2 linked regions of the Saccharomyces cerevisiae S288C genome follow. The gene in region 1 interacts genetically with each later gene. Each region holds a gene or a part of one and is shown on either strand. Other genes may lie near its edges.

What was found.
Region 2: mutations in VAM7 (region 1) and ERD1 together harm fitness more than expected from each alone (negative genetic interaction), as found in Saccharomyces cerevisiae (4 studies listed by BioGRID).

What each region holds. Positions count from the first base shown.
Region 1 is NC_001139.9:88,980-93,935, reverse strand, and holds VAM7 (Vam7p), read right to left. Parts: upstream 2,505-4,956; coding exon 1,554-2,504; downstream 1-1,553. Other genes in the region: Rab family GTPase YPT32, read right to left, coding at 1-144; NCS6 (Ncs6p), read right to left, coding at 345-1,424; SKI complex subunit WD repeat protein SKI8, read left to right, coding at 2,689-3,882; CLG1 (Clg1p), read right to left, coding at 4,597-4,956. UniProt on the Saccharomyces cerevisiae protein: Essential for proper morphogenesis of the vacuole. May exist as structural reinforcement on the surface of the vacuolar membrane and be required for maintenance against rupture by osmotic pressure.
Region 2 is NC_001136.10:1,294,225-1,299,349, forward strand, and holds ERD1 (Erd1p), read right to left. Parts: upstream 2,463-5,125; coding exon 1,374-2,462; downstream 1-1,373. Other genes in the region: DFM1 (Dfm1p), read right to left, coding at 1-170; rRNA-processing protein RRP17, read left to right, coding at 469-1,176; YDR415C (putative aminopeptidase), read right to left, coding at 2,813-3,937; mRNA splicing protein SYF1, read left to right, coding at 4,208-5,125. UniProt on the Saccharomyces cerevisiae protein: Required for the retention of luminal endoplasmic reticulum proteins, affects glycoprotein processing in the Golgi apparatus.

The DNA.
Region 1 (4,956 bases):
CACGCCAATCGTGGATTTGGATTCAATGTTGAATTCATCGGTTGTAAATCTCGACAACAGATTAGATTTACCCACACCGGAGTCGCCGATAAGAACTATCTTAAATAAATAATCGTAGTCGTATCCGTAATCTTCGTTGCTCATTCTTGGAAAACAATATGCTTGGTTCGCTCTTTATCACCACGCTTTTCCTCTCTTTCCAGCGCGAACCATGCAATGGCCAGCTTTATAGCTGATTCTTTTATTTGTCTTTATTGTGTTGCGCGTTCTAATGGAGGGCGCGCCGTACTATATTATATTATATTATGTTACGCTGCATTCTTCTACTGCGAGCTATATATATGTCAAAAGCTGAGTTTCTCAAGAGCTCTCAGCTTCAAGGCTGCACCATCGGCAGAAGTGTCATTCTCGATTGCCACTTGGGCTCTACTTTTCTCCAGTCCTTCCAGCAACATGCACGCCTTGCAAATGTTATTTGACGACAGATATCCACATCTAGCGCATCTATTGCCGTCAACAAATTTGACGACTCTCTTTCCAGCGTTAGATTTTTTAGCCTTTAATGCCAAATTTTCGCCACTTTGGATGATGTCTATAATGCAACTGGGCCTCACTGCTTCCAGATTCTTCATGTATTCTCTCGCAGTGCCCCTAAACGCTTCTGGGGCATAGGTACACTCAGTGGAAAAATAATCCAGCTTCATGTAGTGCGCATACAGGACAATTTCCTTTTGGTAAGAATATTTAAATGGTTTTGATCTCTTGATGGGAGAGCCGCTACTTTGTGTGATAATCGCAGTCGATTTTTCCAATCTTGCTACGTCACCACGTAGGATATTCATTAGTACTGTCTCTGCCATATCGTCTGCATTGTGGCCGGTGACAACGTGAGATATGCCCAGCTTTGCAGCACCACGGTCCAATGATTGTCTTCTAAAAACACCACAATACGTGCAACTGTTCCTTATACCAGCAACGGATACAATCTCATCCATTGTCCAATCATAGAGGTCCTTAAAGGAAAAAATCTCCAAAGGAAGGCCATACTGCTGCTGATTCCTTTTCACCGTGGCCAAGGAATCATCTCTGTATCCGATGATTCCTTCGTCAATACTCAACAGTACAATCTCAATGCCGTAATCGTAACGGTCATTCAGAAGCTTCAGCATATGCGCTAACACCGTGGAGTCTTTACCACCAGAGGCCCCCACGGCTACTTTTTCTCCCCTCTGAAACAAGTTATTTGCTACAATAGTGTTATGGATCTCCGTCTCGAACACGAGGCAGAAGCATTGTTTGCAAAGTTTAGACAGGTTTTTGGGTCTTCTAATGAGAGCCTTTCTTGAATGACATAGTTCACACAACTGTGATACCTTCACTTTTGTCGGTTTATTGACGGGATCTGAAGGAGCAGTAAACGACATGACGGTTCCTTTGCTTTACTCTTACCATATCGTCTCATCGCCAAAATTTTTCAATTACTAGATTTACAATTTTTTTTTTTAGTACAAATATACTCTCAGGATTTGTAACCCGGATAGTAACTCATTAATTCAAGCACTGTTGTTAAAATGTCTAGCCTTCTTGTTGGCTATCTGTAACCTCCTACCAGTGTTATCGACGTCATCTTCAAGTGCTGTAAGTAGCTCATTCTGTGTTTGCAGCTCCTCGTTCATCTCTAAGGCCAATCCACGTTGTGCCTGGATAATTCGGTGCAGTGCAACCAACTCTTGTTCTTGATCGCGCACCATTTGCATCTGCCCCTGTTGCAAATCGTTATTCGTTCTTCCTTGAACTTCCGTGGTTGAAGAGTTGTCACTGGTGGCAACCCCCAGAAGTCGTCCACGGTCCTGAGCTATGTTTGCTGTACCAATGTCATCGCATTCCTTGAGCAAGGACCTCAATAGAGCGGCGCGACGAGTCACTTCCGTGCTTGGAAGAGACTTCTTTTGCACATCCTGTTCTAGTCGCTCTCGTAACTTGTGGAGCTTCGTACGTGCCCTTAGTGCTCCACGCACGCTGGGTGTGCCATCACTCTCCTTATCTAAATCCAATTTAATATCTCTTATCATCTCATCCCATCCCACTTCGTCAGCAGTTTCTAGATGCTGCTGTGACTTTTCTTGAGAAACATTTGGCTTTGACAACTGCAGGAAGTCTTGCGCTATTTTTGTGTCTCTCCATCGAGAATCAAAACGATCGTTATACAATTCATTGAGGAACCTCTCTAGTCCGATCCGTCTTTCATCGATCATTTCCGGATCATCATATCTTCTTTGCCACCTCCTGTCCAATACACCGGGCTTTTCAGGGAAGTCATATGGGATGGTGCTTCCTACATCTCTCTCCAATCGTGTCTTCAGTTTCCAAAACTCGGAATACCTTTTGTAAAGGCGCTTGTTTGGTGTACTAACACCGTATAAAACATACTTGGGGTTGATTTTAACATCGTCCACCTTGATTCTTAACTTTTCACTCATTTTCCCTACAGAATTAGCTGCCATCAATATCAATTATCAACCCTTATATGACTTTATTGTTTTTGTTTTTGTTGGCTAATTAATTGATACAAATCTTTAGGCGAAAAATAAAAAAAATATAAAGTAAAGAAGGAAAAATTAGGCGATATTAAAACAAATCTAAAATAAAGACAAGAAACGAAAAAGAGGTTAATCAAGTATTGGAAAAATGTCCAAAGTGTTTATTGCCACAGCAAATGCAGGTAAAGCTCATGACGCTGATATTTTCTCGGTTTCTGCTTGCAATTCATTTACGGTAAGTTGTTCAGGTGACGGTTACTTAAAGGTGTGGGATAATAAGCTGTTAGATAATGAAAATCCAAAAGATAAGTCATATTCTCACTTTGTCCATAAGTCCGGATTGCACCATGTCGATGTCTTGCAAGCTATTGAGAGAGATGCATTTGAATTATGCCTTGTTGCTACCACTTCATTTTCTGGCGATTTACTCTTCTATCGTATCACTAGAGAAGATGAGACTAAAAAAGTTATATTCGAGAAATTGGATCTTCTAGACTCAGACATGAAAAAGCATTCCTTTTGGGCATTAAAATGGGGTGCCTCAAATGACAGACTACTTTCCCATAGGCTGGTTGCTACAGACGTCAAAGGGACCACTTACATTTGGAAGTTTCACCCGTTTGCAGATGAGTCAAATTCTTTAACACTAAATTGGAGCCCCACGTTAGAATTACAAGGCACTGTCGAATCGCCTATGACTCCAAGTCAATTTGCCACTTCTGTGGATATCTCTGAACGAGGACTAATTGCCACAGGTTTTAATAATGGAACAGTACAAATTTCAGAACTATCTACATTACGCCCGTTGTACAATTTTGAATCTCAGCATTCTATGATTAATAATTCGAATTCCATCAGATCGGTGAAATTTTCTCCTCAAGGATCCTTATTAGCCATTGCTCACGATTCAAATTCATTTGGTTGCATCACTCTATATGAAACTGAATTTGGTGAAAGAATAGGCTCCTTATCCGTACCAACCCATAGCTCGCAGGCAAGTCTGGGTGAATTTGCACATTCTAGCTGGGTCATGAGTCTATCGTTTAATGATTCTGGTGAAACATTATGCAGTGCCGGATGGGATGGTAAATTGAGATTTTGGGATGTAAAAACAAAGGAAAGAATCACTACATTGAATATGCATTGTGATGATATTGAAATTGAAGAGGATATCTTAGCTGTTGATGAACATGGAGATTCTTTAGCTGAACCTGGTGTCTTTGACGTGAAGTTTTTGAAAAAAGGTTGGAGATCTGGTATGGGAGCTGATTTAAATGAAAGTTTATGCTGTGTTTGTTTAGATAGAAGCATCAGGTGGTTTAGAGAAGCTGGCGGTAAATAATCTCTAGTAATATCTTGATATATTGCATGTAACCTTACAATCATCCATTATTCTTTTTGGTTCATAAAATTTCAGTAATATTTAATACCTTTAATAAGCCAATGTATGAATTTCACTTCACAAAAATAAATTTGCTAGTAATAAAAAAAAAAAATTGGTTTTTTTATGTATTTCTTAAATATTAGAAAGAGATAGACTCAATTCTTACATATGTATATGTGGAGAACTTGAAAAAAAAAATTAATAACAAAGTAAATGAGAAAAAATGATAAAGGGAAAGAAAAGGACAAGATGTTAAAAATCCAGTGCTTTTTTTTTTTGGTTTTCATTTTTTATAGTTTTTATTCCTGTCATAAAATTTGTTTAGTTTTTAATTTTCTTTTTTTTTCATATTTTTTTATTTTTTTTATTTTTTTTAATAAGATCACTCACCTAAGAGGTCCATATGGAGTACTAATAAAAAAAGTAATAATAATAATCTTTCTTCTTTATTTCGTTTTTCAAAAATTTTGTTAGCTTCCGATTTTCATTTTAGGAAAATATGTTTCTAGATTTTTTTTTTTCAAATTTTTCAATTTTTTTATTATATCTGTTTCGAAATTCTGTTTTCTCATGAGAGAAAATAATAAAATGATAGATTAGAAAGATGATCCTGGGCAAAAGAGAAAGTAATTCGATGGGATCAAAGAAAAAATAAGGAAAAAAAAGTTTTCACTAATACACTGCCGAATACGGAAAGTAGTTTCGCTCAAATCTTGAATGATTTATTGTGTCATCCATTGACTTCCAGCCAAGATGATGACCGTAAGACTGATTATGGACGTGAGGGGGAGGTAATTGTGGAGCGGCAGGTAAAAGTGAGTGTTGTTTTTGTTGTTGCTGTTGTTGTTGACTACTGAAATTGTAGAAGTCGTAATCAAACTGAGTTTCCGAAATTGGTGAAGAATATATATTGGGGAATTGTTGATAGTAATTCAATCTTGGCTGATTATAGTTGTAATAGTTATAATAACCATTCATACTAGAAAATTCAGACCTTGAGTTACTCTGATAAGATGGTGATGAAAACATGTT
Region 2 (5,125 bases), on another chromosome or scaffold:
TACCACGGATTGATTAGATTCAACCGGCCGACGATCGTCATAACGATCGCTAGAGTAAATAAAGTTCTTGTTATTGGGGGGATATTTAACCAGAATTCTTTTGGGCCCATCACATCATTATTACGGCCTCCATTTCCATGTAATGTACGCACATTCCTTGGGCCTGCCATTATTTCCTCGAAAATAGTTTTTGATTTGACTTGGAAATGCGGAATTCACTGGTAATTTGTTGTATTTTGCCTTATATCCTTTGTTTGATACTCTTGTCTTATATTGAAGAGGACACGATTTCATGAGCCGCGAACGGGTAAGTAGGGACTTTTCACATTTGAAATTTTTCAAATGTGATGAGGATCGATTCTGCAAAGCAGCAGATAATAGCAGATAAAAAATAGAGAGTTGCAATATTCAAGTTCCTGGTAGCTGCTCGAATCAAGAGGGGTGAATTAAAGGTTTTCGATTTTTGCTATGGCTGTTCACACCAATAGGCAAATCCTTACAAGAGGCAAAAACTATGCTACAAAGCAATCAAAGAAATTCGGTACCGATGAGGTGACGTTCGACAAGGATTCTCGTTTGGATTATCTGACTGGCTTTCACAAGAGAAAGCTTCAAAGACAAAAGAAAGCACAAGAGTTTATTAAGGAGCAGGAAAGGCTTAGAAAAATTGAAGAAAGACAGAAGATTCGGCAGGAACGTAAGGAGGTGATGGAAGAACAGTTAAAGACGTTTAAAGAGAGTTTAAACTTGGAAGCTGAGATAGAGGATGCGAAAAATGATAAGACGGAGGATTTGCAGGTAGAATCTGATGAATCCTGGCACGGGTTTGATTCTGATAAAGATGACGGCGATAACGACAATAATGAAAGTAGCGTAAAGCCTATTTTGAAGAAAGGAGCAATCACGGAAATATACGATGACTCAACTACTGTTGAATTGGAGACATTGGAACCCAATGATAACTTTGAATATTTAGCCCAGCTAAATAATGTCAAATTAGAAAAGGCAGAAAAAGTACTCAAACAAAGCATAAATAGAGCCACCAAATACGCGAAGTTTCTGGGCGTGGATGAGAAACAAAAGAAGAAGCCAAGAGTAAAAAAGTTCAGATATTTGACCAAAAATGAACGAAGAATAAACCAAAGAAAGGCAAACGACAACAAGCGTAGGAGATAATGCAGTCGCATTATCGTCGGGCACCGCCTGGGGTTTCTTGACGCTCAAACAGTGTTTGATTTTTTTTTGGAAAAGTATATACTGTGCATATGTATTTTTCGTTTATTATATGTAATATATCGAATAAACCATTCTACGGGGAAAATAGAACAAATATTTACAGCATTTGCATGATTTTATATGGCTTGCCCAACAAATTATTTGCTTGCAAACTTAATATAATACTCTGCGTCCAATTTGAAAACGACCCATATGCCTCTTCTAATTACTTCGAAATACTGCATTTCGCCTTGGAAAAAAATGTAGTCGCTATCTGCGGCAACTAATTTCAGATTCTGCGATAAATATACCCATAGCCACCAGAACCTCAGCAAAAAGTCAACGAGAATCGCCGAATGATACATTTTTTTCTTTAATGTGACGGCACTTTTGGATCTGGATCTTAAAGAGGTTAACGAGTCCAATGACCAATCCATCCTTACATCCCAAAATAACGTATAGGAAGAATTAATTAGCATAAACCATCTTTGAACGTGGTGTAGTCTTTCTTCGTTGATGGATCCCTCATACACTCTTGATCTCCAGGTGCAAAAAAGAATGGGAAGATTACAACTGTATTTCAATGCATTGAATAGTAAAGTTGCTTCGTGCAGTAAACGGTATTCTCTCAAACACTGCAGTAGTCTTACCAGTACAGGAAGAAGGGCTACGGATAGATCAAAATGTGTGAAGGGTTCTCTAAAAATTAGAGAGGTAAACAATGTGAAGTCTATCAATGGTTTTGCAAACGATGTCAACGTGTCAGAGATTAAAATGTAGGTATTCCTTAAGGAACGGGGGGAGGATTCTATCAACAAACATCTCCTAGTACAATATTTTATTATCTGGCACTCTTTCAACAGAAACCAAAATATAGTGACACATTGGATCAATGGTAGAAAATATACGATGAGAATGATATTTTTGAGTGGACCTTCTATAATATTCATGAACTCAAAAAGGAACACAGTGGCAAAGTGGAACGGTATAATAATCCTTGTTATCTTCAAAGCAAAATTTCTAGCTGTTCTATGCAATTGCTGTAGAGTATAACCTGGACGTATATCGTGCGGTACTCTCGTGAGTATGACTTGGGATACGTCTAAATTACTATGCAAGAAGAATTTTAATATCCATGTCCAGATCCAAAGGGCAAGTATTATGAGCACAATAAATCGCTGCGGAGGGGGAACATTTAATATATTTTGGAGATAAAGTCCTTCAGAATTACTTTCGCTTTTCTCCATATTTTGCGGCCCAACTTGTTGCAGAATTGAAAACTTTGTATAATACTAATAATAATTTATAATAATAACAATAATAATTTATAACAATAATAACAATGCCAAACAATTTATATGGGTAACCAGTTTTTGGTACTGTTTGCCATCAATATTGCGACTAAATCGGGAGCGGTTAGCGCTGGCTTGCACTTTTTGCAACTGACTCTATTTCTTTCATTGATTATGTTATTTTCAGATGACGAAATACGCCAAAAAAATTCGGGAAATAAATACTAGCGTGATATCGGTTTAGGTATATTACAAAAGAACACCAAGGTAAGGCATCATTAGTTATGTATGCATATTACTGACTTTTACCAAGCGGACCATGACCCGAGTTCAATGATTACCCCTAATACAATTTTTGTGTGTTCCGCCATATGAGCGAGACTTAATCTGTCCAAAGTATCCATGGTGCTGTGAATATACTTGTTAGTCTTTTTGAACTCACTTTCAATCACGAAGGAGCCTGGAAATCCGTTTCTGGTGGCACTCCCATGATCGCTACAAGCATAGCCACATTGTGTATCCCTGTAAGGAATGGATAGATAAGAGTTGATAATTAGTTTTATAAAATCAGTTAATGCGGGAGTAGTGTAGTCGGTGACAATCCCCACATGTTCATCTTCTGGATCAGAAACATATCCCGTCATGTCTTGCTGAAGCATCGCTCTCACATGCTTTTTCTGTTTGGCATAAGCTGTAAAAACATCAAGAGAACCCAACAATCCCCCCTCTTCGGCGGAATAAAAGTGAAATTCCACAGTGTTGTTAGGTCTAAATCCTCTCTTCAAAAAATTTTCCGTATATAATCTGAGAGCCTCCATATTAGTCACCGTGCCTGACCCATTGTCGTCCGCACCTGGAGCTGCCATTATGGATGGCAGTAGCAGATTGATAGAATCTTGATGAGAACCAATTATTATAATATCTTCTGGCGTAGTAGATCCCGTGACACGGACTATAATTGAATATTGCTTCCATTCTTTGTGATCAAAATGTTCAATAGTCAACGTATCTTGCGGAATATCTTTTGTAATATTAGCGATAGTTGCAGCTAACCACTCGGCAGATTCAAAGCCGTGATCGGACTTGTAGTAACGGGTGTAAAAACTTGTAAACTTTGCCAAGTTCTTGTGCATAGAGCCCTTGTCTATATTCTTAATCGAATCATCCACTACTTCTTTGTTCGATATCTCAGGAGGATAGTTATACGTTGGTACTGTTGGCTCTTCCTCCTTGTTAAAGAAAGGTAAGAAAGAAGTGTGTTTGGTCACATCAAAGAATTTGACACCTCTTCTTCGTAAGTTTAGCTTTTCTGATTCGGGAACCTCCATTACCTCATTCTCTCCTACTTGTAAAACCCTTAAAGGCTCATATGGATATGACCATGCGATGATGGCAACATTAAATAAAACAAAAAGCGACTGTATCCTCATATTGTGCTAATCAGCGGTTGATTATGTTACTTACTTTTTCGAATAAAGATTTTGTATTTCTTTAGCTTCGAAGATTGATAATTATTGAATATCAAGTTTCAGTTTACTATAGCGGTCCGAACATATGAAAGATTTTAGTAAAGACGCTGGCAAGCTTTTCAGTCAAAATAATACAAAAGGAAATAGATAGAAAAAAAGGAAATAATCAGGCCTCCATATTGGACTCAACTATCCTTCAGTACCGCAAAACTTATTGTGTCCATATATCCTATGTCAGCATACATCGCAATGAAAGGAGTAATAACAAACGTCGATGAGAACATAAGAAATGATGAAGATGTGGCTTTTGAGTACGAAATACAAAAGACACCGCAGAACATACTTACATGGAAAAGATATATCGAGTATTGGAAAGAGGAGGGAAGAACTGACAAACAGATTAGGTGGCTATATGAAAGATTTTGTTCACAATTTGTAACAGATACAAGTATATGGGAAGATTATATACGCTGGGAATCAACAAAGGAAGTAGTCGAAACTTCACGTATTTTCTGGCTTTTTCAAAGGTGCCTGAAAAGCTGTGTACGAGATTGTGACAGGATATGTTTGTCTTATTTAGAATTGGCAATTGAACAATATGACTTGGCAATGATAAGGCATGCCTTAGCTTCATCTTTAATGAAAATGGAGAGAGAAATGCATCGGAAAGTTTGGGATCCTGTCATAAAATTTGTGGAAGAAAAAGTTTTACCATTAACGCAACTGGATTCAACTCAAGAAGATGAAGAAGAAAGTACTGATGAAGCTGAATTGATAAATGTACTTTTAGTGAAGGGTTTCACGAAGGGAGGTTTTATTAGCGAGGAAATTAGTGAAAACGGAAGTAGAGGTGATATTTGGTCGTCACATATTTTAGAAAGATACTTAAAAGTGGCTCCTCAGCAAAAACGAAATGAATCGCTGGCAACTCTTGCATTAACTAGAGACAATATTACCATCAAATCAGTATATGAAAAGTATTTGCCACAAGATGAAAATAGTGGGAAGTATCTACCTAGTTCAGAACTGCCTTTTGAATTAAATTTCAATTATTTGGCCAGCCTAGAAAAACTAGGTTTAGATAATCAATATGAGGAGTTCATGAGGCAAATGAATGGCATATATCCCGACAAATGGCTTTTTTTGATC